Anolis sagrei: one gene and its partners. The protein of the gene in region 3 binds, or shares a complex with, the protein of the main gene of each other region. Links are inferred from orthologs where the notes say so. Each region holds a gene or a part of one and is shown on either strand. Other genes may lie near its edges.

Region 1 (10,944 bases), on a different chromosome or scaffold from region 3:
CTTCTTTCACTACTTGGTTTCATCCTTCTCTCTTTCCTTCATTCCCTCCCCCTTCCTTCCTTTGCCTTTCTTCCCTCCCTGTTTGCTTCCTTCTTTCACTTTTTATTTCCTTTTATTTCACCACCATCCTAACAATAACAATAATGCAGTGCATTGCCTCTGGGACCTGACACCTCTCCCATTCCCCCTAAAAGGGTCTCATAGGAACAATAGCATAATAATAATAATAGAAATAACAACCTTTACCCGCCACGTGTTGCTGTGGCCAATCTTCCCTCTTTCCCTCCCTCCCTCCCTCCCTCCCTCCCTTCCTCCTTCCTTCCTTCCTTCCTTCCTTCCTTCCTTCCTTCCTTCCTTCCTTCCCATCTTTCCTTTTCCTCTTCTTTCTCTATCTCTTTCCTTCCTTCCCCCTTTTTCTTTCTCTTCTGCTGTCTCTCTTTTCTTTCCTTCCATCTTTCCTTTTCTTTTCTTTCCTTTTCTTCTTCCTCTAACTTTCCTTCCTTCCCCCTTTTTCTTTACCTCCCTTTCTCTTTCTTCCTTCTTTCCTTCCTTCCTGTCTTTCCTAGATTTTGACAGGGCGGGAAGGGGCGGGGTGGGGTTTGGAGGTGGCATGAAGTAAAAGGAGGTAAGATTGGGGCAGGGGAGTGATGGAACGTGGGGTTGCGTGTGTGTGTGCGGCAGCGGGGGGAGTGATGGAGCGTGGGGTTGCGTGTGTGTGTGCGGCGGCGGGGGGAGTGGGGTTGCATGTGTGTGTGCGGCGGTGGGGGGAGTGGGGTTGCGTGTGTGTGCGGCGGGGGGGACTGATGGAGCGTGGGGTTGCGTGTGTGTGTGTGGCGGCGGGGGGAGTGGGGTTGCGTGTGTGTATGCGGCGGCGGGGGGAGTGATGGAGCGTGGGGTTGCGTGTGTGTGTGCGGCAGGGTGTGTGTGTGTGCGGGAAGCGGCGCGGCAGGGCTTGGAGTGGGCATGGTTTCCGCAGAGGGAACGTTGGCCGGAAGGCCATGTGCGCGCGCCAGGGAACTTGCGGCTGGGCGCCAATGCGCATGCTCAGTTGTTTTGCCATTTTGTGAGTGTGTTGTGTTGTTTTTCATTTTGAGTAGATATGTTTGTACCTTGTGGGTTGTGTTATGGGTATGGGAATTTTGGTTAAGTTTCGTTGGGGTTTTTTTGAGTTTTGTTCTTTTGCCGTTTTGTGAGTGTGTTGCTGTGTTGTTTTTCATTTTGAGTAGGTATGTTTGTACCTTGTGGGTTGTGTTATGGGCACGGGGGTTTTAGTTAAGTTTCGTTGGGGTTTTTTTTAGTTTTGTTGTTTTGCCGTTTTGTGAGTGTGTTGTTGTGTTGTTTTTCATTTTGAGTAGATATGTTTGTACCTTGTGGGTTGTGTTATGGGCATGGGAATTTTGGTTAAGTTTCGTTGGGGGTTTTTTGAGTTTTGTTTCCTCGATGGATGCCCCTAACAAATTTATATATATAGATATATAGTCCCCTTCCACATGTTGCTGTGGCCCAGTCTGTGTATATGTGTTTTGTGTGTATATATTTGTCTATATATGTGTGTTTGTATATATGTGGGGGTATATATGTGTGTGTATATATTTGTGTATTTATATGTGTACATGCATATTATGTATGTGTGTGTTTGTCTATAAGCAAATTTGTGTGTATGCATATGTATATGTGCATGTGTATTATATATGTGTGTATATGTGTATATTTGTGTGTATTTGTGCATATATATACATGTGTGTATTAATGTGTGCATGTGTATATGTATATGAGTGTATGTGTATATGTATATATGGTGTCTTTTCTTGGGTTTTTAAGTCTGGTCTGGTGGGGTTGTGTGTGTGTGTGTGTGTGTTTAGGGGGGATGGGACAGCTTAAGACCAAACCTACAGAATCCATCTTGTTTGGAATTTGGGGACTGCCTGTATGTGTATATGTGTGTGTCTGTGTGTGTGTGTGTGTGTTTGCAAGTGTGTATACCCATCAACTGAGGGTACAGTTGATGGGTATACACACGTGTCATGACTTGATGGTCTGGAATCATGGGAAGTGTAGGTTGGTATCAGCACTCATTGGTAAAGAAGGCAAAACATCTTGTAAAATTACAGCTCCCCTGATTCCATATCATTGAGCTATGGCAGTTAAAGTGGTGTCAAACTGCATTAATTCTACAGTGTACATGCACCCTGAACTCTCAATTACTCAAGTTACTTCCAACACAATATGAATAGGATCACAACTATGGAAACAATGAAGATGGCATCCTATACACACTTACTTGAGATTAATCCACACTTTTCCAAAATATGTGTAGGACATTACATTCTAAAATGTAATTCAAAGAGGACCAATTCCACCACTTGATTATCTGATATCTGTTAGTTTTCCCAAGTTGTCAAATTAATAGCTATCTCATGCACTCTTCTGTTCAGAGGTTGTCACTGCAGCTAGTGGCCAAAGCCAGCACTTTGAATTGGGCCTGGTAGTAATCTGGCAGCCATGGCTTCTGCATCCCAATCTAGCCCTATATGCCAGAATATCAGGGCAAAAAAATCCCACAGTATCTGCTTTGAACTAAGACTACACTGCCATATTTCCCAGTTCAAAGCAAATAATGTGGGATTTTATTTAGCTGTGTGGAAGGGGCCACAGAGGGTTTGCTAGAGTTAGCATCCTTTTGTGGCTTAAGTTTAAAATCATGCAAATATATATATATGCATATGCATACATGCCTACATTCACACACACATCTCTGCAGCTCTCATGAGAAAAAACAATCAGAATAGAAGAAATAGAAGAGGCAATACGATCTGCCAAAAGTAATAAAGCTCCAGGGCCAGATGGTTAAAAAAAAAAAAAAGAATTGTGCTGAATAACGGTTTACCTACACTGATACCACTTTAACTGCCAGGACTCGATGCTAGAGATTCACAGAAGTTGTACTTTTACAAGATCTTTCGCCTTCTCTTTCTCCGTTTATCATTCCAGAAGTTTCTTTTTTTTGTTGTTTCAAAAAATGCACAACTTTTTATTTCTTATCTGCCTCTCCTTGTCTCACGGTGGGTTAGAGTGTCATTGAAACACATAAACATTGTAAAAATACAATACAATAAATTTCTATAAAATGAACATATTATACCTAAATACACCTAAAACAAACCATACATTATTAAATTTTTTTGTAATGTATTTCCAAAAAACGAATCCAAGGCTGAAATTAAAATTGCTGGAAGAAACATTAACAACCTTAGATATGCAGATGATACCACTTTGATGGCCAAAAGCGAGGATGAGCTGAGGAGCCTTCTAACCAAGGTGAAAGAAGAAAGTGCAAAGGCTGGGTTGCAGTTAAACATCAAAAAAACCAAGATTGTGGCAACAAGACTGATAGATAACTGGCAAATAGAGGGAGAAAATGTGGAGGCAGTGACAGACTTTGTATTCCTAGGCGCAAAGATTATTGCAGATGCAGACTGCAGCCAGGAAATCAGAAGATGTTTACTTCTTGGGAGGAGAGCCATGACCAATCTCGGTAGAATAGTGAAGAGTAGAGACATCACACTGGCAATGAAGATATGAATAGTTAAAGCAATGGTATTCCCCAAAGTAACATATGGATACTAGAGCTGGACTATGTGGAAAGCTGAGCGAAGGAAGATAGACGCTTTTGAACTCTGGTGTTGGAGGAAAATTCTGAGAGTGCCTTGGACCACAAGAAGATCCAACCAGTCCATATCAAATCATAGTAGCACTGCAGAACTTTCTCTTGAAAAGAGCTGTTCTCATATCACTCACTTCCAAAGTCTCCTCGTTTGGCTGCTTCAGATCTATTCAGTTGAAGAAAAAGGATCACATCTGGTTTTGGAAGCCCCACATCAGGTTGTTTACACCATTCTAAAGAGAGGTTCTCTTTAGCACCTTTAGCACCATTCCCTCCAATGAGCCCGACTGCTCATTGGAGGGAAGGATAGTAGAGAGAAAGATGTACTTTGGCCACATAATGGGGAGACAGGAAAGCTTAGAGAAGACAATGGTGCTGGGGAAAAAGGAAGGAAGAAGGAAGAGGGGCTGACCAAGGGCAAGATGGATGGATGGTATCCTTGAAGTGACTGTCTTGACTCTTAAGAAGCTGGGGGTGGTGACAGCCAACAGGGAGCTCTGACGTGGGCTGGTCCATGAGGTCACAAGGAGTCGGAAGCGACTGAATAAATATAAAAAACAATTTCCATTTTTAAAGAAAATTCGGTACACTCCTAACAGTTTACTGTTTTGGAATGGATTTAATTATTTGCACCCCATTCCCCAAATACAGACACTATTATCATTTTATCATGCTGGAAATTTTTTTTCTTGTTGTTTCAAAAAGTGCACAACTTTTAATAGTTTTTAATTCAGGAATGTATTTATTTGAAATCCCCCCCCCCCCAATGAATAATATATTTTTATTTCTTACCTGCCTCTCCTTGTGTCTCAAGGTGGGTTACAGTATAATTGTAACACATAAAGATTGTAAATAATTTTATTGTTCATTTTTCAAATATAACAACCTAAAAATACATTGAAGCGATGGTCTTCCACCATCAACTCCGCTGGACCGGCCACGTTGTCCGAATGCCCAACCACTGTCTCACAAAGTAGTTGCTCTACTCCGAACTCAAGAACAGAAAAGGGAATGTTGGAGGACAGGAAAAGAGGTTTAAAGATGGGCTCAATGAAACCTTAAAAACTCTGGCATAGACACTGAGAACTGGGAAGCCCTGGCCCGTGAGTGCTCTAGCTGGAGGTCAGCCATGACCAGCACTGCTGTAGAATTTGAAGAGGCATGAATGGAGGGCGAAAGAGAGAAATGTGCTAAGAGGAAGGCGTGTCAAGCCAACCCCAACCAGGACCGCCTTCCACCTGGAAACCAATGCCCTCACCGTGGGAGAAGATGCAGATCATGAATAGGGCTCCACAGTCACCTACGAACCCACTGCCAGAACACCCATCTTGGAAGACAATCCTACTCGGACGAGGGATCACCTAAGTAATTACAATAAAATGAATTTCTATAAAACACACTAGCCATCCCCTGGGCCACACGTTGCTGTGGCCCAGTCTGTGTATATGTGTTTTGTGTGTGTATATATGTTTGTGTACTTACTTACTTACTTACTTACTTAGGCGATCCCTCCTTGTCCGAGTAAGATTGTCCTCCAAGTTCGGTGTTTGTGTATATGTGTATATATGTGAGTTTGTGTATATATGTGGTTTTGTGTATAATGTAATTCTTATTTCTGTCTTTTTAAGTCTCTTCTGCTGTGTTTTAAGGTGTTTTTTATCAGTGATGGTCACTTGTTGACCTGATAGGTGTATTGTGTCCCAATTTGGTGTCAATTAGTCCAGTGGTTTTTGAGTTATGTTAATCCCACAAACGAACATTACATTTTTATTTATATAGATGTTACACTTAAATACACCTAAAACAAACTATACATTATTTAAATTTTGCTATATATACAAAATAGTAGTAATAATAATAATAATGCAATGCACTCTTAAGAGTTTACTATTCTGGAATGGATTTAATAATTTGCACACACTCTTAAAAGTTTATCAGTCTGGAACCAATTTTTTTAAATGTTTTCAGAGCAAAGTGCAAAATAAAGAAATATAATCCAGAATTATATACTTTTAAGACTGTATATATTTTGGGGATGGGAATAAAAACATTCCAGAATGATGAATTGCCTTGTTTTGTAGGGAAAAGGTATACAAATAATAACTGACTGCAGGACACTCCATCTCTACCACTTACAACTCACTTTTGCTATTTTGGCTTCACCTAAGCCCCGCCCCTTGAGCGAATGACGTAGTCGATCCGGACTCCGCCCCATTTCCCCGCCACTTAAGACCGCATGGTTCTTCTGCGCATGCGCTGCGGAGAAGAGTGTCGTCAGTTCCTTCAGGGTAAAGAAGAAAACCTCCAAAGCACCGGAAGTGCTCTGTGGTGACTAACGGAAGTAGGTTCGGCGTTGGATCTGGAAGGCTTCTGCTGAAGGAGCTGGGTCGTTGTGGCGGGAAGAGTTGTGGAGACGAGACGACAAGATGGTGGAGGTGAGGGAAAAAGGACTCTTTCTTGGCCGGGCATTGAAATGCCGGGCTGCCGGAGTTTAAGGAATGAAGACCAGTTTAAGGGATGGCGCGGGAGGATGCTGGTGGTTTCTGTATTGTCTCAGGAGTATTTCGTTGCTATCTGTTATTCCACTTGGGCGTGTTTTCACTCGGAATAATTTGTATTTACAGCATAGAGCAGGCATGGGCAAACTTCGAGCCTCCAGGTGTTTTGGACTTCAACTCCCACAATTCCTAACAGCCTCCGGCTGTTAAGAATTGTGGGAGTTGAAGTCCAAAACACCTGGAGGCCCGAAGTTTGCCCATGCCTGGCTTAGACTGAAAAAAAGCAGCGAGATCTCTCAAGCTTAAACAAGAAATTAAGTTATGTTCTGTATAGACCTTATACATAGGCCTAAGGTGATTTTGCTTACGATATTTTAAATAATTAAAGTGTATGAAGGTGACAGTCTCAGCCATTGATGTGGACCATTGTGGAGTATTTTGGATTTCAGGAATTCTGGATAAGAGACGCTCAGCTGGTAACGAAAGTTGCAATATCTTCCTTCCCCGGTCTGCCCACCCCTCCAGAATCTCCCAAACCAATTGTGTGTGTGTATATATATATAATTATATATATATATCCTGGTTTATCTCTCGATATGGAGACTCAAAGTGCCTCACAATCAAAAATATTACAAATTCAAATATACAATAAGAGTACAGTATATTATTATATATTATAAGTAGTAATTATCTATATAAATAAAAATGTAATGTTCGTTTGTGAGATTAACATAACTCAAAAACCACTGGACAAATTGACACAAAATTTAGCAGTATTCTCACCTCCATTCGAGGGACTCAGGCTGGTTTCCAACATCCATATTGCAAACAGTCATTAAAACATCATATTCTAAATCACACTAAAACATTAAAATACAGTCATATGATTACAGTGGTCAGTCGTCATCAAAAATCATTATTCGTCGTCATCCATCCATATCACAGGGTCATGGCTCATTCGTCGAAAGCCAATCCCCAAAGCCAAGTTTTCACATGTTTCCTGAACGTTAAGATAGAAGGCTCCAGCAAAGGATCGCCGCCTTGTCGGGGCGCTGGAGCTTGAGCACCTCAATGATGTCATGAGCGAAACCGTGAAGGGACACCCAAGACGGGACGGTTGTGGCAGAGAGGTCAGACCAAGCGTGATCCCTGGGGAAGGCAATGGCAAACCACTCCAGTATCCTTGCCAAGAAAACTAAATGGACCAGTACAATCAGAGATATGTCGGTATGCCATTGGAAGATGGGACTCCCAGGTCGGAAGATGGCCAAAATGCTACTGGGGAGGAGCAGAGGATAAGTTCAACTAGCCCCAGATGTGATGACGCAGCTAGCTCAAAGCCGAAAGGAAGGCTAGCGGCCGACGGTACTGGAGGTGAACGACGAATCCGATGCTCTAAAGATCAACACACCATAGGAACCTGGAATGTAAGATCTATGAGCCAGGGCAAATTGGATGTTGTTATTGGTGAGATGTCAAGACTAAAGATAGACATTCTGGGGGTCAGCGAACTGAAATGGACTGGAATGGGCCACTTCACATCAGATGACCACCAGATCTACTACTGCGGACAAGAGGAACATCGAAGAAATGGAGTAGCCTTCATAATTAATAAGAAATTCGCTAAAGCGGTGCTTGGATACAACCCAAAAAATGACAGAATGATCTCAATTCGAGTGCAAGGAAAGCCTTTCAACATCACAGTGATCCAAATATACGCCCCAACCACAGCTGCTGAAGAAGCAGAAGTAGATCAGTTCTATGAGGATCTGCAGGACCTACTGGATAATACACCAAAAAGAGACATTATTTTCATTACAGGAGACTGGAATGCCAAGGTGGGAAGTCAAATGACAACTGGGATCACAGGCAAGCATGGTCTGGGAGAACAAAATGAAGCGGGACGCAGGCTGATAGAATTCTGCCAGGAAAACTCGCTGTGTATAACGAATACTCTCTTCCAACAACCTAAAAGACGGCTTTATACATGGACCTCACCAGATGGTCAACACCGAAATCAGATTGACTACATCCTTTGCAGCCAAAGGTGGCGGACATCCATCCAGTCCGTGAAAACAAGACCTGGGGCTGACTGCAGCTCAGATCACGAACTTCTTATTGCCCAATTTAGAATAAAACTAAAGAGATCAGGGAAAATACACAGACCAGTTAGATATGATCTCACTAACATTCCTAGCGAATATACAGTGGAAGTGAAGAACAGATTTGAAGGACTAGATTTAGTAAACAGAGTCCCAGAAGAACTATGGACAGAAGTCCGTGACATTGTTCAGGAGATGGCAACAAAGTACGTTCCAAAGAAAAAGAAAACCAAGAAGGCAAAATGGTTGTCTGCTGAGACACTGGAAGTAGCCCAAGAAAGGAGGAAAGCAAAAGGAAACAGTGAAAAGGGGAGATATGCCCAGTTAAATGCGCAATTCCAGAGGTTAGCCAGAAGAGATAAGGAACTATTTTTAAATAAGCAATGCATGGAAGTGGAAGAAGACAACAGAATAGGAAGGACAAGAGACCTCTTCCAGAAAATTAGAAACATTGGAGGTAAATTTCAGGCAAAAATTGGTATGATAAGAAACAAAGATGGCAGGGACCTAACAGAAGCTGAAGAGATCAAGAGAAGGTGGCGAGACTATACAGAAGATCTATATAGGAAGGATAACAATATCGAGGATAGCTTTGATGGTGTGGTGAATGAATTAGAACCAGACATCCTGAGGAGTGAGGTTGAATGGGCCTTAAGAAGCATTGCTAACAACAAGGCAGCAGGAGATGATGGGATCCCAGCTGAACTGTTTAAAATCTTAAAAGATGATGCTGTCAAGGTGATGCATGCCATTTGCCAGCAAATATGGAAAACACAAGAATGGCCATCAGACTGGAAAAAATCAACTTATATCCCCATACCAAAAAAGGGAAATGCGAAAGACTGCTCCAACTTCCGTACAGTGGCCCTTATTTCTCATGCCAGTAAGGTAATGCTCAAGATCCTGCAAGGAAGACTCCAGCAATACATGGAGCGAGAGTTGCCAGATGTTCAAGCTGGGTTTAGAAAAGGCAGAGGAACGAGAGACCAGATTGCCAATATCCGCTGGATAATGGAGAAAGGCAGGGAGTTTCAGAAAAACATCTACTTCTGTTTCATTGACTACTCTAAAGCCTTTGACTGTGTGGATCATAATAAATTGTGGCAAGTTCTTGGTGGGATGGGCATCCCAAGCCACCTTGTCTCTCTCCTGAGGAATCTGTACAAGGACCAAGTAGCAACAGTCAGAACTGACCACGGAACAACAGACTGGTTCAAGATTGGGAAAGGCGTACGGCAAGGCTGCATCCTCTCACCCAACCTTTTTAACTTGTATGCAGAACACATCATGCGATGTGCGGGGCTGGATGAATGCAAAGCTGGGGTGAAAATTGCTGGAAGAAACATTAACAACCTCAGATATGCAGATGACACCACTCTGATGGCCGAAAGCGAGGAGGAGCTGAGGAGCCTTCTAATCAAGGTGAAAGAAGAAAGCGCAAAAGCCGGGTTGCAGCTAAACGTCAAAAAAACCAAGATTATGGCAACAAGAATGATTGACAACTGGAAAATAGAGGGAGAAACCGTGGAGGCCGTGACAGACTTTGTATCTCTAGGTGCAAAGATGACTGCAGATGCAGACTGTAGCCAGGAAATCAGAAGACGCTTACTTCTTGGGAGGAGAGCAATGTCCAGTCTCGATAAAATAGTAAAGAGTAGAGACATCAGACTGGCAACAAAGATCCGCCTAGTCAAAGCCATGGTATTCCCTGTAGTCACCTACGGATGTGAGAGCTGGACCTTAGGGAAGGCTGAGCGAAGGAAGATCGATGCTTTTGAGCTGTGGTGCTGGAGGAAAGTTCTGAGAGTGCCTTGGACTGCGAGAAGATCCAACCAGTCCATCCTCCAGGAAATAAAGCCCGACTGCTCACTGGAGGGAAAGATACTAGAGACAAAGTTGAAGTACTTTGGCCACATCATGAGGAGACAGGAAAGCCTAGAGAAGACAATTATGCTGGGGAAAGTGGAAGGCAAAAGGAAGAGGGGCCGACCAAGGGCAAGATGGATGGATGGCATCCTTGAAGTGACTGGACTGACCTTGAGGGAGCTGGGGGTGGTAACGGCCGACAGGGAGCTCTGGCGTAGGCTGGTCCATGAGGTCACGAAGAGTCGGAGACGACTGAACGATTGAACAACAACAAGATAGAAGGGGCAGTTCTGATCTCCAGTGGAAGGGAGTTCCAGAGTCGAGGGGCCACCACTGAGAAGGCCCTGTCTCTCGTCCCCACCAGCCGCGCCTGTGAGGCCGGTGGGATCGAGAGCAGGGCCCCTCCAGACGATCTTAGCAATCTTGATGGCTCATAGGGGAGGATACGTTCAGACAGGTAAATTGGGCCAAAGTCGTATATATCCTGGTTTATCTCTCGATACGGAGACTCAAAGTGCCTCACAATCAAAAATATTACAAATTCAAATATACAATAAGAGAACAGTATATTATATATTATCAGCCGTAATTATCTATATAAATAAAAATGTAATGTTCGTTTGGGATTAACATAACTCAAAAACCACTGGATGAATTGACACAAAATTTGGACACAATACAGTCCAGCGAGTGTCCATCACCCATAAACACACACACACAAAACCCCAGCGGAACAGACTTAAATACCCCCAAATACACCATATATACATATACACATACACTGATACACATATGCACATGCACACATTCATAC
Region 2 (10,541 bases), on a different chromosome or scaffold from region 3:
GAGGCGACTCGTGGCGGTGTACAAAACATAGAACATAAAGACAACAATTACAATAATTAGGAACATAACACACATCTACTAACACACAACTAATTAAACTAAAAATCCGCTTCGTCTTGTTTGGGTCATAATCCATCTCGTCGTCATAATCCATTCCGGTGGTCATAACAAAAGAAACATAGCACTTAATTAAAGGCCTTTTCAAAGAGCCAGGTTTTCAAGCCCCTACGGAAAGCCATGAGGGACGGCGCCTGTCTAACCTCAGCAGGGAGGGAGTTCCACAGCCGGGGGGCCACCACGGAGAAGGCCCGCTCTCTGGTCCCCGCCAAGCGTGCCTGCGAGGCAGGCGGGACCGAGAGAAGGGTCTCCCCGGATGATCTTAAGGTCCTCGTGGGCTCGTAGGCCGAGATGCGGTACTCAAGGTAGCAGTGTAGAAGGGACCCTTGACTATTGAGGAAGACAAATGGATTTGATGAGCCTGGAAAAGCAAATATATGTCTTGTGTGTTTTCACCTCTTTGAATGCTAGCACATGGGTTTGTGGACGAGCCACAAAAGTAGATAAAACATGGACCGGGGGTTACTGGTCAGTTTCTGGGTGATTCCATAGAATCATGGGGCTCCCAAGGGCCATCTAGACCAACCCTCTGCAAGTGCAAGAACCTGAAACATCCCTGAGAATTAGAATGCTTTAAATTTAAAGGAGAATTCATTCTTATCTCAGGCAGTCAATTGCACCAAGAAGAAAATTATAAATGTCAGTCTGATACCACCATCCCAAACTTGCACTGTCAATTTTTGTGTGTGGAAGGGTTATGTTTTGTTGCACCTTGCAAACCTCCGGTTCTCATCTCATTTATTTTAACGTGTGGAGTGTCCCCACTTAAGAGGCATTTGTGTGTGAGTAAGTTCACGCAGGTATTGCAAAAGAATGATTTATAACCGAGCTGTTGTAATGCTTTAGATTGACAAAGTGCTCTTCACAACGGTAGTTCGTGATACGGATCTGATTAAATGGGCCATGGTACACACAAGCTTTCGCCAAGGTGTTTGTTCTGTTCTTTCGGATTGCATAAAATGTTTTGCTGTGTTTGCTTTAAAGGTGATATAGGGGAACCCCTTCTATACACTGTTTTCTATGGATATTATTATTATTATTATTATTATTATTATTATTATTATTTCCAGCACTTATACCCCGCCCTTCTCACCCCCGAGGGGGGACTCAGGGTGGCTTACACAACGAGGCACCATTCGGCACCCATACAATTACATTTATACAAGTGACAATCATAATAAACAATTAAAACAGTTATCATGGTTAAAACAACGATGCAAATTAACAATCAGTAACACAGCATATAGAACAATTCACGTGTTCAGCATTTGTCTTTCCGGGTTCCAGATTCCAATCCATTATACCTTTCCTAGATGGTATCCATTCTTCACCTGCTCATTGACCAAACGCTTGGTCCCACAACCAAGTTTTGAGTTTTCTCCTAAAGGAGAGAAGTGAGGTCACTGTTCTGATTTCCCCGGGGAGCGAGTTCCACAGGCAGGGAGCCGCCACCGAGAAGGCCCTGCTCCTCGTCCCCGCCAGCCTCACTTGTGACACTGGCGGGGTCGAGAGCAGGGCCCCCCCGGCCAATCTTAAACTCCGGGTGGGACGTAAAGGGACATTATACTGATGGAGTATAATGGGAACTGTAGTATGAACGTTGTTCCCACGTTGCTCATCATGCAAATCCTCTTTAGGAAATGCCTAGTTGGCATAGAACGGTCTGTTTCTATTGGAGGGCTGTTCAGGACCAGAGGCAGGGTACCTCAATATTTTTTATTTTCCCTCCCAGAGAATAATAAAATCATAGAATGATAGCGTTGAAAGAGACCACATGGACCATCTAGTCCCGTGATGGTGAACCTATGAGACGCGTGTCAGCACTGACACGTCGCATAGCTATTTTTGATGACACGCGGCCACATGCGGCCGCATACAGAGAAGTACACCTTATAAGAGCCAATCTAATTCCATTCTTAAATCTGTAAAAGGCTCTACAAATTTAACATCTGCACGTTTGAGCATTGTTCACTCCATAACTCAGCATGGAATATACATTATGTTTTTTTTCCTCAAAGTTGACACCCCACCCAAGTTATGCTCAGGTTTTTGGCAAATTTTGACACAGTAAACTCAAAAGGTTGCCCATCACTGATTTAGTCCAATCCCTGAGATACTGAGAGGTTAAGAGATGGGAAAGTGAAAATACAGTGGCTTGAATATGTGTTGTCAACGGCTTGCATGGCGGGAATAACTGGGTTGCTGTGAGTTTTCCAGGATGTATGGCCATATTCCTGAAGCACTCCATAGTGTTGCCCCTATGATGCACTTTCCCCAGTCCTAAATTGAATGCCTACCCCACTGTTTAGCCTTTTTGGGTTCCCCTTAATTACATATTTTCTTTCCTACTTCATCCAGGGTTTTGTCATTTTACCTCCTCCATTTGGCCTGTGTTAATTTGTTTTATTTATCCTATTTTGCTACTGTACATTATTTTATTTTGATGTAATTTTTTGTTTTCAGCATTCTGTATTTTATTTTGTTGTGTTGTATTTGGGCTTGGCCTCATGTTAGCTGCCCTGAGTCCCCTCTGGGGAGCTGGTGGCGGGATATAGATAAAGATTATTATTATTATCATCATCATCATCATCATCATCCTCTCCGGATGTTTCACCCACATCTATGTCAGGCATCCTCAGGGGTTGTGAGTTCTGTGGAAACTAGGCAAGAACATAAATCTGTGGAATTATGTTCAGGGTGGGAGAAAGAACTCTTGTCTGTTTGAGGCATGTGTGAATGTTGCAATTGGCCGCCTTGATTAGCATTGAATAGCTGTGCAGCTTCAAAGCCTGGCTGCTTCCTGCCTGGGGCAATTCTTTGTTGGGAAGTATTAGCTGGCCCTGATTGTTCCATGTCTGGAAACATTTCTCAGCAAAGGATTCCCCCAGGCAAGTAGCAGCCAGGCTTTGAAACTGCAAGGCTATTCAATGCTAACCAAACCGGCCAATTGCAGCATTCACACTTGCCTCCAACAGACAAGAGTTCTTTCTCCCACCTGTTCACCCTCCCACCCTGGACATTATTCCACAGATATGTAAACCCAATTTTCCTAGTTTCCAACAAACCTCACAACCTCTGAGAATGCCTGTCATAGATATGGGCGAAACGTCAGGAAAAAATGCTTCTGAAACATGACCATACACTCCAGAAAACTTGCAGCAATCCAGGTTTGAATATGACTGGCAAGATGGAAGGAAACATCTCAGATCCGAAAAATTGAGGGAAAAAAGACTGCTGCTGGTGAGTCCTGAATGACTCAGCTCCTCAGGCACCAATGATACCATTGTGTGCCAAAAAGGTCATTCCCTGTCCCTTTGTGAAGCAGGCTGTTCATGGCTCCCTGCTGATGGCCTCCTCTGCCGGCTGCAGGCGGATCAATAGGGTGTCCACTTCCAGACAAGGTTTTAATTGGCCTGCCTTGTTGACTGAAATGCTACAGCAGAGTTCCATAGCTGTGCAAGTCCAGTGCTCTTGTGTTTTTCCACTGCTGCTTCTCTCTCTCTCGTTTTTTGATATGAAAAATCTTGCAAAAAGGAGTATAGCATTTAGATCAAAGGAAGTCATGGTGCTCATCTAGTCTGCTTTGCTCGGACTTCATCTGGAATAACACTCCGTTCAATCCTGGGCAAAACAATTTAAGAGAGATATTGACAAGTGGAATATGTCCAGAGGAAGATGACTAAAATGTTCAAAATCTAGAGACCATATATACCTTTGAAGAGCGTCTTAAAGAGCTAGGTCTGTTTAGCCTCCAGATGAGAAGGTTGAGAGGAGACACGAGAGTATAAATATTTGAAAGGCTGTCATAAGGAAGAGGGGGCAGGCTTGTTTTATGCTGCCCTTGGAATTAGGACTTGGAGCAATGGGTTCAAATGACAGGAAAGGATATTCTACTTGAACATTAGGAAAAGCTTTCTTACTGTAAGGGGAGCTGTTGAGCAGTGGAACTCTCTGCCTCGAGGTGTGGTGGAAGCTCCTTCCTTGGAGGCTTTTAAACAGGCTGGTGTGGCCATCTGTTGGGGGTGCTTTGATTGTGCTTTTCCTGCATGGATAGGGGTTGGACTAGATAAAAACAATAGTAATTTATTTTTTTAGCATAAACATCAAATGAAAACTATTATTATATTATTATTTCTATTCTGCTGTTAGATCTAACATGGAGATGCAAAGTGGCTCCCAACAATTTAAAATATACAAATATTTATTTATTTATTATTTACGACATTTATATAGAATCATAGAGTTGGAAGAGACCTCATGGGCCATCCAGTCCAACCCCATTCTGCCAAGAAGCAGGAATATTGCATTCAAAGCACCCCCGACAGATGCCCATCCATCCTCTGTTTAAAAGCTTCCAAAGAAGGAGCCTCCACCACACTCCGGGGCAGAGAGTTCCACTGCTGATCAGCTCTCACAGTCAGGAAGTTCAGATGGAATCTCCTTTCTTGTAGTTTGAAGCCATTGTTCCTCGTCCTAATCTCCAGGGAAGCAGAAAACAAGCTTGCTCCCTCCTCCTCCCTGTGGCTTCGTCTCACATATTTATACTTGGCTATCCTATCTCCTCTCATCCTTCTCTTCTTCAGGCTAAACATGCCCAGCTCCTTAAGCCGCTCCTCATAGGGCTTGTTCTCCAGACCCTTGATCATTTTAGTCGCCCTCCTCTGGGCACCCTCCTCTGCTGCCCTTTTCACCCCGAAGGGGATTCAGAGCGGCTTACAAGGTATATATACATACAATATATTATATTATTAGCATAGTACAATGTCGATATTGAATATTACTATTTTGTACTATACCATTATATTGTAATATTATTACTAATATTACATGTAATATAAATATAAAATTATATCATATTAGTAGTAGTATATTGCATTACATTATAATATTATACATACTACATGTATATACAATAAATTATACTACATTATATTATAAATTTATTGTAAATTATTATAAATTCTCCCTCCAAACTATAAATATTAAAATAGGATCAAATACACACCTTGGTTAAAATCTGATGGCTTTTTTGCTAGGAAGGGACTGGATCCCATTGCACTGAGCCATAGTAATGCAAGTGGTGTCAAACTGCATTAATTCTACAGTGTAGACGCACCCTTAGTTATTAAATTCAGTGTTGTAATGTATATTAGGAGTTACATGCATTAATTATTGTGAGATATGAGGTTTGAGATTTAATTGCATTAGACGCATTTATGACACTTTTCAGGGCCAAAAAAAGAAAGGAAATCTCTGAGCTGCCAGCCTTTTGGAACTATCAACAAAGCTGCGGTTGCGCATGCGCAGTATCTCGGCTTCCAAAGCGGCGCGTGAAAGCAGCAAAGAGCACGAGGCAAGGGACGATCGTGATTGGCTGCTCCCGGAGAAGGCTCGACCTATCCAGAGAGAGGACGCGACCTGACGCTCGCCGAAGCCTGCCGGGAAGTAGCGCGCATGCGCAAACTCACACAGGAAGAGAAACCAAGATGAAGTAAGTTTTGGGTGCATCTACGCTGTAGAGTTAATGCAGTTTGAGCCCGCTTTAACTGCCAGGGCTCGGTGTTATGGAACTGTGGGAGTTGGACAAATTTGACAAGGTCTTTAACCTACCTTGGCAATTTTAAATTGGCATTCTATTCTTACTGTATTTTTAATCATTGTACAGTTTGGCTTTTTAAGATATGTATTTTATAGTAATGTGTTCTAAAATATGTATTTTAGTAATGCATTTTAATATAAGTATTTTATAGTGATGTGTTTTAATATATGTATTTATAGTGGTGCATTTTAATATATGCATTTGATAATAATGCATTCATTAGGCATTATTATCAAATGCATCATTATCAACCGCCTCGAGTCGCCTTCGGGTTGAATGGGGCAGTATATAAATATGGTAAATAAATAAATAAACAAACAATGCATTTTAATATATGTATTTTCTTGTATGTGTTTTATGTTGCTGTGCTTTGACAGTATTTATTTATATTTATTTATTTATTTGGGGTTCTTGTACCCCGCCCTTCTCACCCCGAAGGGGACCCAGGGCGGCTTACAGCTGCAAGGCGCACTTAGACGCCTGCTACACAAACAATCATCACAAAAAATATAACAGTACAAATTCCCACAATTCAACATTATCCAATAAAATCAGTAAAATGATAAAATCAGTAAAAACAATACAAACCTGGAACTTCCTCCTACCCATCAGTGTACAATTAACTCAAAGATCTGTTTTGGTTCCATTTCGACAATCCTGCCGATCTCACACATCTGATTGTCTTATTTGGTTGTCATTGTCTAATTGTCTGGTTGCCCAAAGGCTTGGTTCCACAGCCATGTCTTCACCCTCCTCCTGAAGGAGAGGAGGGTTGGTGCTGTTCTGATTTCCCCCGGGAGTGAATTCCACAGGTGGGGGGCCACCACTGAGAAGGTATTGTTGTTGTTATTATTATTTATTTGCTATATTTATATACCACCCCTCTCAGCCCGCAGGCAACTTGAGGCGGTTCACAAGGCAACAATTCAATGCCCAACAACATCATAAAAACATTTTAAAATATTAACATATAATATCAACCATAACAAGTTAGTAAAACAAATCATTTTGTACCCCATCTCAAGGGAAAGTGTGTGACAAAAACATTATTATTATTATTATTATTATTATTATTATTATTATTTACATGTACATAATGTTACAGCACACATGCACATTAGGTCCAAGTGTCTCTTATTGTTGTTGTTGTTATTATTATTATTATGTTTATGTTTATTTATACCCCACTTTATCTCTTTTGAAGGAGACTCAAAACGGCTTAAATTAAAAGTATGACCACACTGTTCAAAATATACAAATATGCATACATTAAAACATAATTAAAAATGTTGTTGTTATTATTATTATTGGCTAATAGTCTTACAAATGATAACTCCCATGATTACACAGAATAAGCCATGGCAGTTATCGTCAACTCTTTTTTTTTCATGTCAGGAGTGACTTGAGAAACTGCAAGTCACTTCTGGTGTGAGAGAATTGGCAATCTGCAAGGACGTTGCCCAGGGACATCCAGATGTTTTATCATCCTTATTTACTTATTTATTTATTTGGGGTGCCTCTACCCCGCCCTTCTCAACCCCCTAGGGGGGACTCAGGGCAGCTTACAAAAGGCACAATTCGATGCCCAACAATTCACAAAATACAATATACAAAATTACAAAATAACGTCAACAGTTATAAGTAGTCCCTTCATGTCCCTTCACGAGGAGCTGGAACTGACAAAGGGAGCTCATCTGCGCTCTTCCTGGATTCGAACCTCAGGCCTGTCAGTCTTCAGTCCTGCCAGCACAAGGGTTTAACCCACTATGTCACCAGCGGCTCCTGGTCAACTGAATTAATTCAGTAGTTTAGATGCACCCTGGGTCATGGTTAATAGAAAGTTAAAACCTGGCTTTTTGAGCAAGCATTTGCAAATGCAGTGTAACTGGCAAATCTAGATCCATAGAATGACTAGACGAGGCAAGTCGAAAATTATTTTAGTAAGGAGACGCTGAGGACTTATGCTTTTATTCGTTTTATTTGATTTTATATTATAGGTTGAATGTTTTAAATTGTGTTTTATGTTGTTGGAGACATCGAATTGTGCCGCCTGTAAACTGCCTTGAGTTGCCTTCAGCAAATAAATACATAATAGAAAGCCATGTAGCAAATTGAGTCATGGAGAAAGGGTGGTATGAAAATGAAGTAATATAGTTGGAGATAGCAACCTTCTCAAGCTTCCTCTTTTTAATGTTTTGTCTGTTTATAATGTGTTGTTTATTTCCTGTAGTGTATGTCTTCTTTGGTTTGCAGTCTTCTTAGCTTTATGTACTAGAGGCAGTGGGAGGGGCTATAGACCATGTGACTGGTTCGGTGACTCCTTAGAATGAAGTTTAAAAGGATGGCAGTTGAGGAATGACAGTTGAGGCTTGAATCAGCTTGCGTACAGAAGCCAGTGTAGGAAGTTAGAAGACTGTTAAGGTTTGAGTCCCTTGGAAGTAGACTGTTATGAAAGAGAGCTGTCCAGAGCGATATAGTTTTGAAGAGACTGTTGAAGATTATTAAGTTAAAGATACAAACTGAAATGTTTAAAGTTTAACTTGATAAGAAATGTGCCTATATATTTAAATACATGCAGTTATGAGTATTGTAAAGAAGTCTACTTGAATCTTTGTCTGCTGAGAGCATAGAATAGAAACAAGATATTTACACGCCCAGTGATCATCCATTACCCAATAAACTATAAGAGCGCTTCTGAAATTCTGCTATCCAATAGGTTATGATCCTAACATAATAAATATAAATATTGAGAACCCCAATTATCCCAAGTCAGGTGTGGGATATGCAGTGTGGCTTTTGGTTTCAGCTCCCCTTTTCTGTTTTTACCCTTTTCTAGCCCACTTACTAAGGTGAAGCTGATCAACGAACTGAATGAACGTGAAGCACAGCTGGGAGTGCAAGATAAGGTTTCCTGGCATTCGGAATACAGCGATAGCGCTTGGGTGTTTGTGGGTGCGTGCCATGTTCTTGGAATATGATAATTACATTGAATTATCTTTGTGTTTTTAAAATTCAAATCTTTATTAATGTCTTCTCTTTTTTTCTAGGGGGGTTGCCATATGAACTGACAGAAGGGGATATTATCTGTGTATTTTCACAGTAAGTAAAAATAGGTCTAATACACCAAGATTATGTTTATTTAAGATTTTTAATAATGTTTCCCATAAAATCAAAGTAAACAGCAATTAAATAGATAGATAGATAGATAGATATAGTTTGCATGATTATTAAAAAAATCTTAGTGCAATAATAATAATAATAATAACAATAATAAAAAAAACTTTATACCCCGCTCCATCTCCCCCAAGGGCAGTTTACATGAGGCCACGCCCATCAATACAATGCACAACAATATAACACAAGAACATAATAAAACCAAAAAATAAAATACATAAAATGCAAAACAATTTAATAAGCAACACAACAATATGAAATCAGACATTAAAACAAAAAAGATTTCGCTGGGCAGGGCCAAATTCAGGACACATTGAGTTTAATAGGACTGACCCTCAGGTAAATGCATATTGTAGGGTTTCTCAATATGCAATATGCAAAATAAATATTCTTTTAGCTGTAGGTATAATAATTTAGCAAATACAAGTTTCGGAATCTGCTTTTTGACCACATTGCTATCAGAAAATGTTGTGAAGCTTTGTATGTTAGCACTTGTGTTTTGTTAAACTGACTCTGCTTGGTCTTTTTTTGAAAGTGGAAAAGTTGAAGTTACTGCCTTTCTCTGCAGATATGGGGAGATTGTGAACATAAACCTGGTTCGTGACAAGAAGACAGGGAAATCCAAAGGTTTCTGCTTCATTTGCTATGAAGATCAGCGAAGCACCATCCTTGCAGTTGATAATTTCAACGGGATAAAGGTGGGTGATCTGTCTGGCAAACCAAGTACTATATATATTTAGTAAAATGAAGGAAATGCAATAATAACAGTAATAATAACAGTAATAATAGAGTAAAATAATAAATGTAAAAAAAAGAAAAAATACAATAAAATAATTGAGCAAAATAATGGATATATAATAATAATAAATAGAGAAAAATAATAAATGCAATAAAATAATAATAGAGTAAAATAATGGAAATGCAATAATAATAAATAGAGTGGCTCCCTGACTCTGGAACTCACTTCCTGAAGAGATTAGGAAAGCCCCTACCCTAGAAACCTTTAAAAAGAACCTTAAAACCTGGCTCTTCCGCTGCGCATTTGATGAATAGATTTACATCTTCACACTAGTGTTCAGCTTCAACGTTTTTTGTCATTCGAGTATATTCCCCCCTTATGGGAAAGCTTGGTTCCACGACCTCCACTATAATGAGCAAATCAGTTTCTATTTTATCTCGCCTGAGTTTTTAATATGCTTTTAATCAGCCTTTCTTTTATCCATTACATGTAGCTTGCCCATTGTCATTGTGATTGTGCTTATTGTAATTTTATATTGCTATGTTTTCATTTGTTTTATGTAATTACATTGTTATTGTTTATTATTTGTGTTTTCGGTTTTATTTTATGTTTGGGCTTGGCCTCATGTAAGCCGCTCTGAGTCCCCATTGGAGAGATGGTGGCGGGGTACAAATAAAGTTTATTATTATTATTATTATTAAAATAATAAATGTAATAAAAATAATATTAACAGAGTAAAATAATAAATAACCTTGACTGAAGTATAAGCCAAGGGGCTGAAAAACTCAGCTTATATTCGAGTATATATGGTACATGATTGGTGCAGTTTCATCAGCAGAGCATTGCTCAGTACAATACCACAACAGCCATAAAGCTGTTAAATAACTGTCATTTTCTGTATTCACAGATAAA
Region 3 (10,390 bases):
ATCACTGGGGCATACTATGCTCCACTGCTATGGAAATTGTGGGAGGCCATGGAAACCAAAAGATGTGCAATTCTCAACAAAGGTGTCTGCCTTCTACAAGACAATGCACCAGTTTACAACTCACATGTTGCCCAATGGAAGCATGCTCCTGTGACTTTGAAATTCCTCCACATCCCCCTTATTCACTCAACTTTGTACCACTGAACTTACACTTCTTTCCAACAATGAAGTTACTTTTGAAGGGCAAGCATTTTTCAGGTGAAACTCTGATTTCTGAAGTCACAACGTGGCTTTTGGAGCAACTATGCAAAAAATGTGTGTCCCTAGGGGGCACCTATGTAGAGAAGAGTATTGAAGGAACCAGCAGAAGTAGTTTCAGAACCACTGGTGATAATCTTTGAGGATTCTTGAAGAACAGGAGAAATCCCAGCAGACCGGAGGAGGGCAAATGTTGTCCCTATCTTCAAGAAGGGGGGAAAAAGAGGATCCAAACAACTACCAGTCAGCCTGACATCAATACCAGGAATGATTCTGGAGCAGATCATTAAGGAGGCAGTCTGCAATCACTTAGAAAGGAATGCTGTCATTACTAAAAGTCAACCTGGATTTCTCTAAAGCAAGTCATGCCAGACTAATCTTATCTCTTTTTTTGATAGAGTTACAAGCTTGGTAGATGCAGGGAATGCTGTGGATGTAGCATATCTTGATTTCAGTAGGGCCCTCAACAAAGTTCCTCATGACCTTCTTGCAAGTAAACAAGTCAAATGTGGGCTAGGCAATGCTATTATTAGGTGGATCTGTCATTGGTTAAGTGACTGTACCCAAAGGGTGCTCACCAATGGCTCCACTTCATCCTGGAAAAATTAAAACATTTAAAAAACACCAAGATATCTCTACCTTACATTTGAAGTCTATGTCATGTCATGAACACAGTAGGTTGCTGTTTCTCAAGTGAGTGACTCAGTAAAATTTGGAGCCCCCAGTGACGCAGTGGGTTAAACTGCTGAGCTGCTAAACTGCTCTGACAGGAAGGTAACAACACGCCATGCAGTCATGCTGGCCACATGACCTTGGAGGTTCTACAGACAATGCTGGCTCTTCGGCTTAGAAATGGAGATGAGTACCACCCTCCAGATTTGGACACGACTGGACTTAATGTCAGAGGAAAACCTTTACCTTTACCTCAGTGGAATTTAATGTGTGTGATGAAGTAGTAGGACAAAGTACTGTGAAGCAACTGGAAAACCAAGATGATGATATACTTATTCATCATTTTTTATTAGAGTTCTTCATTGTTGACTGGTATATCAGGACAGAAGAGGCTTTATGTAGGAAAGTAATCATTGGCAAGAGATAGCTAAGTTAGAACTGGAATTATTCTTAAAAGGTCAGAGATATGAGTGAGCAGAAAAGTTTGTGGTAGGTTTTGAAAAAAGAATCCCAGAGAGCTTATTACAATGTTTGGGAACATTTTGCTGATGCTGACCTCCATGAAGTAAATGGCACTTCTCATAATAATTTGAGGACGTTGGAGTCCAATGAAGGCAAAGGCATATTATATGCCATCTGCTGCAGGAAGAGTATTTTGCAAACAAATTGTTCCTTCTCTTTCAAAAAGTCAGACTTCCATAGGTGGTTTCTGTATACCGAAGCATCTTTAGTCTTGCCTTTCAGAAACAAGAAATGCAGGGGATAGCATTCCTGCGGTGAAAGTGCCTGCTGCTTCATCAGCAAAATGGTTTATAGCTACAGCATCTCAGGAGATAAGTGTTATATTTCCTCCTATGAGATAAGTGTTAACACAGTTAGTCCTTCTATGAGACAACTGAACTGTGGCAATTTCAGCAACATCTCACTGCGTTCAAATGGAAATGCTAATTAGCAGCACAGCATTTTCACCAGACAAGGCTTGCATGAAAAAATACTATCCTGAAAAGGCATACAGCCACATTATTATTTTACTGTTCCAGTCTTACAATCCTATTGCTTTTCATGTGCATTTTGGCTGACATTTTGGCCTTTTTGAACTAAAGGTTTTATTTTCTCAGCTAAGATGGCAACAACTTCCCAGCTATTGACTTCAAACTGAAAAATAGAGCTAAAGTCGAGAATCTGCAAGACGCCAGTTTTAAAGGAATTGCACTGGCTGTTTATATTCAAGCTGCTGGAAATAACATTAAAACCACGTTGGGACCTTGATAGATGACAGTGGGCCTGAGATTTGAAGTCTGCTGGAGGGGCCCTCCTTTGAGTTCCACTTGTCAGGCCAATACATTGTGGGAGGACATAAGATGTGGGGGGGAAAGGGGGAAAGGCTGGTTGCAAAAAGAATAATCCAACCCAAAATACGTTCTTTCTATCTACTATATTTGATCCACACTATAATATTTGAGTGTGTTTTTTCTGTGGTGACTTTTGGTTTCCTACCAGTGAAAACAGTGAGCACCCTGTCCTCCTGGCCAAGTTGCTAAATGCTTAACTCATATCTGCACTTCATTTTTTTTTTTTGTCGTGTCAGGAGACACTTGAGAAACTGGAAGTCATTTCTGGTGTGAGAGAATTGGCCGTCTGCAAGGACGTTGCCCAGGGGACGCCTGGATGTTTTGATGTTTTATCATCCTTGTGGGAGGCTTCTCTCATGTCCCCACTTGAGGAGCTGGAGCTGGTAGAGGGAGCTCATCCGCCTCTCCCCGGATTCGAACCTGCGACCTGTCGGTCTTCAGTCCTGCCGGCACAGGGGTTTAACCCACTGCGCCACTGGGGGCTCCATCTGCACTTCATGACTTGTCTTCTTCTGTCCCAAGGAATCAAGGCTAGAACTTCAGTGCAATGTTTTCCTCTGAGGCTGTAACTGATTTATACAAGATTATTTATTTTTTATTTGTGAATAAAATAAGGAAATGAATAAGGGAAGGGACCACGTGGTTCAGAGAGGGAACGGCACACTGAGGGCGGGAATATACTTCATAGCTGCATTTGGTGGAAGGATAGAAAGGAGGGGAGAGTTAGGATAAGGTTTAGAATAAAGTTTATGGTTTGGGTTAGGGTTAGGGGTTAGGCTTACGGTTAGGGAAAGAGTTAGGGTTAGGGTTTTTTGTTTTTCTGTTGCCATGTCAGGAATTACTTGAGAAACTGCAAGTCGCTTCTCATGTGAGATAATTGGCCATCTGCAAAGACATTGCCCAGGGGACACCCGGATGTTTTGATGTTTTACCACCCTTATGGGAGGCTTCTCTCATGTCCCCGCATGGAGAGCTGGAGCTGATAGAGGGAGCTCATCCATGCTCTCCTTGGATTTGTGAACCTGTGACCTGTCAATCTTCAGTCCTGCTGGCACAGAGGTTTAACCCACTGCGCCACCGGGGGCTCCAGGGTTAGGGATTAGGCTTAGGGTTAGGGTAAGGGTTAGGGTTTGGGGTTGGGTTTTACCATTAAAGAACTCTTGGTTATAGTATGATAGCTGGGTCTGGAAGCTCCGAGCATTCCAGAGATGCTGCAAGGCGGCTGTGAATAAGGGAAGAGAGGGAGCAGTGAGAGCGGGGAGAGCGAGGGAAGGATAGAGAGGAGAGGACGCTTAGGGTAAAGGGTAGGACAAGGTTTAGGGTTTGTGTTTGGGTTAGGTTTATGATTAGAGTGAGGGTTGGGGTTACATTTAGGGTACACTTTAGGGTTTGGGTTAGCGTAAGGGTTAGAGTAAGGTTTTGGTTTAGAGTAAGGGTTAGATTTAGAGTTTGGGTAAGGGGTTAGGCTTAGGCTTACGGTACGGTTCAGGGTTAGGGTTTCCCCATTAAAGAACTCTTCCATTCCTTGTATATTATCTGTCTCCGGCCTGGCTTACATTAGCTAAGTCTCTCTTGCGCAAACAGCGCTCCCGAAGGAGCGATGTGGCATCTCCATAACGCTTGGAGCTTCTGGACCCAGCTATCATACTATTACCAAAGTCTTACATCCCTTCTATAATATCTGTGTCCGGCCTGGCTTATATTACCTCAGTCTCTCACTCTGCCCCCGTCTCGGTCACGTGTTCTGTACCGTGTTACGCAAACAGCGCTCTCGAAGGAGCGAAGCAGAAATAGTGTAACACTCGGAGCTTCCAGACCCAGCAATCATATTATCACATGGCTTTGTCAAACTACAACCAAGGATTCCAAAGCATAGAGCCATGGTAGTTAAAGTGGGATCAAACTGCATTAAATCTACAGTGTACATGTAGCAACATAAGTCTTTGGCCTGCATGAGAACACACAGGAATACATCGGTGGCGCAGTGGGTTAAAGCCCTGTGCCGGCAGGACAGGTTGCAGGTTCGAATCCAGGGAGAGGCGGATGAGCTCCCTCTATCAGCTCCAGCTCCTCATGCGGGGATATGAGAGAAGCCTCCCACAAGGGTGATAAAAACATCAAAAATCATCCGGGCTTCCCCTGGGCAACGTCCTTGCAGACAGCCAATTCTCTCACAACAGGACACTCCTGAAACGACAAAAAAAAATTGCAGAAATGTTTGCCTAAGAATCCCTTTGGAAGGGGACTAAACATGATTTGTTTACAAATGTGCATGTTAGCTAGGAATCCATAAGCATTGAACGCTAATCATATAATTGAAACCCAATTGTCATATTTATTTATTTATTCATAGCAGCACAATCATTAGATTTGGTTAAGGATGTCCTGCCAAAACAAAGGTTGTGGAGTCTAATCAACTTTTTCCCATGTTTTGATGATAGAACCAATTAGGAAATGACACTTTATAGCCCAGGAACAAAAATCACTTTACATAAAATTAAAGCTAGATTAAGGTAAAGGTTTTCTCTTGACATTAAGCCCAGTCGTGTCCGACTCTGGGAGTTGGTGCTCATCTCCATTTCTAAGCCGAAGAGTCGGCGTTGTTCGTAGACACCTCCAAGGTCATGTGGCCTGCATGACTGCATGGAGTGACGTTTAAAGCGAGATTAACATGGGAAAATAACCATCAGAAAGGAAGGAGGGAGTCTTTGTTTGTGTGTCTGCGTTTTGTTGTTATTTTATAATGTTTTGTTCTGTTTTTATATAGTTCTTGTTCTCATGTGCGCGCGAGTTTCTTTGTGAATAGTAGAAATGGCTTAGTTCTAGAGCTGACTCTGTCCTAGTGACGTCACTAGGGCCACAGATCCCCCCCCCCGCCTAGAAATACAATATTTATTCCTTCCGGAAGTCCCACCTTCTGTTTTGTAGCTGATTGGCAGGCGAATTGGCGGAAGTGGCGTCATCGCAGCAGCGTCAGCTCGCGCGCTCAGTAATGGCGGAGCTCTGGAGCTGACGGTAAGTTGTGGGGAAGAAAGGGAAGCGGAAGTTTCAGTTTGGGACCCTTCCTCTCTCTCTCTCTCTTTCATTGTCTCTCCGTTCGAAGGGAGGTGGCGGGAAAAGGACAGGAGTTGCTTGGCAACGGCCTTCCCGTTTGGGAGGGCGAAAAGGCTTCACATCTGTTCACTGTTCGCCTTAGTTCCCACTCCCTCTCCCAAGTTGACTCCCCAGGCCGCTTGAACTCCCAGGACTCGGTGGAAACCTGCGAGCTGTGGGTTGATGAGGCGCCGGCGCTCTTCAGGCGAGAAGGCTCAAGGCCTTGTTAAACTACGACTCCATTGCATTGAGCCATCGCAGTTACAGTTGTGTCACACCTCATTAAACCTACACTGTAGCGAAGAAAGCTGAGAGGAAGAAAATAAACACGTCAAAGTGTGTTCTACACTTCTTGCATAGCCAAAAAGACAAATCAATGGGTCCTGAAGCAGATTTGATAATCTGAATTATATGGTGATAGCCATCCCCAGCCTTGCGTTGCTGTGGCCCACATGGGGGTTCTGTGTGGGAGGTTTGGCCCAATTCTATAGATGGGGTTCAGAATGGTCTGTGATTGTAGGTGAACTATATATCCCAGCAACTATATATCCCAGCAATTCCTGCTTCTTGGCAGGGGTTTGGACTGGATGGCCCATGAGGTCTCTTCCAATTCTTTGATTCTAACTACAACTCCCAATTGTCAAAATTCTATTTTCCCCAAACCCCACCAGTGTTCACATTTGGGTATATTGAGTCTTCGTGTAGAGTTTGGTCCAGATCCATCATTGTTTGAGTCCACAGTGATCTGTGGATGTAGGAAAACTACAACTCCAAAACCAAAGGACACTACCCATCAAACCCTTCCAGTATGGGAGAACTGTGCCAAGTTTGGTTCAATTCCATCGTTGTTGAGGTTCAGAATGCTCTTTGATTGAGGTGAACTATAAATCCCAACAACTACAATTCCCAAATGACAAAATCAATTTTTTGCATGAAGGACATACGTTGGGTTGTTAGGTGTCTTGTGTCCAAATTTGGTGTCAATTCGTCCAGTGGTTATTAAGTTATGTTAATCCCACAAATGAACATTACATTTTTATTTATATAGGACTAGCTGTCCCCTGCCACGTGTTGCAGTGACCCAGTCTGTTGATCTGGAAAATAAAGTCATGAGAAAGTGTTGGTTTCTAATATATGTATTTCCTTTATGATTGTGAGTAAACAGTATTTCTTGTTGTTTCTTTGTCAGTGTTGATGTGGAGAGTGTCTGGTTTGCTTACTCTGGAATATGCAACATGGACATTGTCCTTCTTTAAGGGTCTCTTTCAAATCTATGATACTATATCTGTGTGTGAGAGAATCATATCTATCTATCTATATTTATGACTGGATGGGTCTTTGTCAGAAGGGCTCTGATTACATTTTCTTGCCCTGGTGAAGAGAGTTGGACTGGATGGCCTTAAGTATTTTCTGTTGTAAACTCCATCTGTGTTCATATTTGGGCATATGGAATATTCATGCCAAGTTTGGTCCAGATCCATCATTGTTTGAGTACATAGTGCTCTCTGGATGTGGCTGAACTATAATTCCCAAACTCAAGGTCAATGACCACCAAACCTTTCCAGTTTTTTCTGTTGGTCATGGGAGCCCTGTGTGCTAAGTTTGGCCCAATTCCATCATTGGTGGAGTTCAGAATGCTCTTTGATTGTAGGTAAACTATAAATCCCAGCAACGACAATTCCCAAATGACAAAATCAATTTTTTTTGTGTGGTGGACATACATTGGACTGTTAGGTGTTTTGTCCAAATTTGGTGTCAATTCCCCCAGTGGTTTTTGAGTTCTGATGGCAGCATGAACTAACACTACATTTTTATTTATATAGATTGTAGATCCACCTTGAGTCTGCAAGGGCTGTTGTGGATAGTAGGGTGAGTTGCATGCCTTTTATGCATGGGGTCACCATAAATCAAAGTTGACTTTGTAGTAATTAACAACAACAACCTCCACCACCCTATGTCAGGCTATGCAGATGTTATTGTTTCTTTACTGTTATTGGAACATATAGAAGAGGGAATTTCAGTAGATGTTACTTGCCCCATAGCTGGGTAACAGTCAAAAACTTCCTGAAGTTTCTACACAGCCATTAAAGGAATAGGAGCCCTCTCTAGTTTTCAGTCTGGCTTCCCTAAATTGGAGGCTGTTTTGCAGGGTTGGGTGAATATGCTTCTTTGCCTCCTCTTTCCTCAACCTCTCAATGCCATGGAATAATTTCTTCTGCGACGTGTCACTTCGGATGTGCTGACTTGCTCATTTCTCGCAATTTGTGTGAATATGTATGTGAATGTATGTGAGATCAGTAAATGCAAACCAGTTTTCCGATATCTAACCCCTCCAAGCTGTAATCTGGCCGTGTGAGTTGTACCCATAACTACATCTTTCATCTATGGCATGGTGTGCCTTTCTTTCTGTCTGCCTTGTCTTTTGCACTTCTGCATTTTTTGTGGCTCCACATCATTTTCTACACACACTGACTAATGAATTACCAAGAAAATAATTTTGTGGGTATTTTTAATCTATGAACATTTTTGACAGGTTATAATAGGTCTAGATTAAATAGGAGACTTGCAAAATTGCCTTAGTTGCATTTTCTGGTGTTTTTTTTAAAAAAGATGTTGTTTTTTATTTACAGATGAACTGTTTTGCCTGGAAGAATAACAAATATCCTTCAACTTGATTTCTGCACATTGTTCATTATCAATTCAAAGCTTGTAGTGGATCAAGAGGAAGAAAAATGAAGAGTGGGGTGACACAGGTGAATGTAAGTTCTTTATTGGCTCTGCAGGTTGGCATTGGCTTCATTGGCTTTGCAGGTTGGCAAGGAAGATGGTTGTTACTTCTTTCATAGAAGGAACAAGGTAATGGAATGAGTGACCAGTTTCCTGCTCTTTTTGTGTATTGCCATGTAAAGTGATGGCGGAGGAGAAAAATTAAATGGAGTCTGCTTCCCTGCTTATTCACATTCTCATTGAGAACCATGAACACTTTTATGTGTGCAGAAGATGAGAGAGCAGCCAGATATGCATGTGCTGCTCTTAAAAAAAAGAGGACTGATTCTTGGCATTTTATCTAGCTGGCACCAAATCCCATCTGATATTGGAGGAGATATAACTAGGACCTGTTCATTTCAGTTATGTTCAATTAACATTCATTTCTTTGAAACCATAGTGAGTCAGATTCAACCTGCAGAAAAGGTGGAAATGTTGTATCCAGTGTAAATGAGTTCTTTTAGAAGTGAGCTATGGGAACACCGACTCCTCCTAATTATTGGACTGCTGCTCCCATGAACTCTAGTCACCATAACCAGTGGTGAGGGATGATGAGAGTTGAAATCCAGAAACATCTGGAGAGCTGCATGTTCCCCATCCATGGACTAGATTCTCAAAACCACTTCATGAGTGGCAAGTGGATGGTAGGAGGGAATGGTGTTTTTTCTTTTCTGACTGGAGTCTTTTTGTCCAACATCAAGTGCCTCTCTACACCACTCTGTATATCTGATGAACAGCTTTCTTTCATGTGCAAGGGAATGTAATGGGGAGGTCTTAGAATACATGTTGCGCTCTGGCCGATGTATTTATACTTTAATTTTAAAATTTGTTGTATTTATAGTCCAGTTCCAGTTATGAAAGGAGAGAAACTAACAATCTTCGACAGAGAAGTTTGTCTCCAGAAGACAGGTAAAAGGTTGTTTTTTTTTTCCTTTTACTGATAGCCCTCCACATTCAATGGGGTTAGAACACAGGACACCCTTGAAAGTGGGAAGGCTGAACATTAAACAGTGTTTTTTTTTCCAACTGAGATAATATCTCTCTAGGAATCTCTAGGTCTTCCTGTGCAATTCTGTGGTCAACATCTGTTGGAACTTGACTATACAATCATATTGGAGGACCTGGAGATTCTTAGAGAGTCCATATTAATGATATATGCCAAAGTTAAACCTGGAAATGCTGTACTTGGCATCCCACATAACTAAAGTTCAATAATATTCTTTTGAATAGTTTCATTTAGTATACATGTGGATTACATCTAAGGATACTGGTTTAGGGACAGTCAATTATTTTGAGAATGGATACTAAAAAATATAACCACAAGCACAAAAGCTAAAATCACTGCAGGGACTAAAGCAATAGATCTGAGCTATTAACAGTGTTAGAATATTTCATCAAATGCATTATGTGTTAAAACAATAAGAACTTAAACTGCTCTCAAGAGGCAGATTAGCTGTGAAGAGAAGGCAAATGAAACAGTACCTCTGTAGAAACACACATCTGACACTCTAACAAACCATGGCGGCATTAGTGAAATGCCTGTCTGCTGCTTCGTACATCCATAACCCTTCCCCCTACGCAATAGACGAACAAAGTCATATTCCAGAACAATTCCTTCACTACCATGAAATGATGCAAACTGACATGTGTATTGCCCTTGAAACCTCAGGCTCTAGATCTGAGAACCTTCTGTCTCTGACATGGCACGCACATGCATATGTGTACACCTTAAAATGGAAGAGGGGGTCAGTCTGTGGTAAAAAGCTGCTTCCACATACAGTTCTTGTTCGTTGAACAACAGCCTGTATTGTTATGTCTACTCACACTCTACTCCTGTGTGAGTCCTGTTAGCAGATTTCAATCTAAGGAGGGTGAGAAAGGCCATACATAGTAGTTGTAGTAGCAGTAATAATAATAATGACAACAACTTTATTTATACCCTGCACCATCTCCCCAAAGGGACTCAGAGCGGTTTATAGCAGTGTTAGTAGTCCTGTCTTGACATTCTCCAGATTGGGTGAGCAGGCTTACAAAGGGATTATATGTGTCTTTGTCAGACATGGGCAAACTTTTAAACTGGGGGGCCAGAGTGTGGTGGATGGGCTGGGCAGGGAGGTAAGGTTTCACACATGGCAGCTTGCCTGGTGTATCGCAGTGCCCAGAAAGTTGTGCTTCAGCCCTGTGCAGAGCCTCTTTCTGGCCTGCACCTTGGCCTCCACTGTCACGGGACTCAGCTGCTCCTTGCAAGC

The links. Proteins that work in one complex are often made in the same cells at the same time.
Region 1: CWC22 (region 3) and PLRG1 share a complex: the UniProt entries of both Homo sapiens proteins name them as parts of the minor spliceosome. The link is inferred for Anolis sagrei from reciprocal best matches to the Homo sapiens genes CWC22 and PLRG1.
Region 2: CWC22 (region 3) and RBMX2 share a complex: the UniProt entries of both Homo sapiens proteins name them as parts of the minor spliceosome. The link is inferred for Anolis sagrei from reciprocal best matches to the Homo sapiens genes CWC22 and RBMX2.

Annotation. Positions count from the first base shown.
Region 1 is NC_090025.1:52,014,725-52,025,668, reverse strand, and holds the start of PLRG1 (pleiotropic regulator 1), read left to right. Parts: upstream 1-5,939; 5' UTR 5,940-6,090; coding exon 6,091-6,099; intron 6,100-10,944. UniProt on the Homo sapiens protein: Involved in pre-mRNA splicing as component of the spliceosome. Component of the PRP19-CDC5L complex that forms an integral part of the spliceosome and is required for activating pre-mRNA splicing.
Region 2 is NC_090030.1:10,482,543-10,493,083, reverse strand, and holds the start of RBMX2 (RNA-binding motif protein, X-linked 2), read left to right. Parts: upstream 1-5,536; 5' UTR 5,537-5,603; coding exon 5,604-5,608; intron 5,609-8,552; coding exon 8,553-8,668; intron 8,669-8,763; coding exon 8,764-8,815; intron 8,816-9,458; coding exon 9,459-9,588; intron 9,589-10,536; coding exon 10,537-10,541. UniProt on the Homo sapiens protein: Involved in pre-mRNA splicing as component of the activated spliceosome. As a component of the minor spliceosome, involved in the splicing of U12-type introns in pre-mRNAs.
Region 3 is NC_090021.1:188,702,423-188,712,812, forward strand, and holds the start of CWC22 (pre-mRNA-splicing factor CWC22 homolog), read left to right. Parts: upstream 1-5,238; 5' UTR 5,239-5,297; intron 5,298-7,198; exon of another isoform or gene 7,199-7,244; intron 7,245-8,005; 5' UTR 8,006-8,107; coding exon 8,108-8,134; intron 8,135-8,982; coding exon 8,983-9,050; coding exon of another isoform or gene 9,051-9,057; intron 9,058-10,390. UniProt on the Homo sapiens protein: Required for pre-mRNA splicing as component of the spliceosome. As a component of the minor spliceosome, involved in the splicing of U12-type introns in pre-mRNAs. Promotes exon-junction complex (EJC) assembly.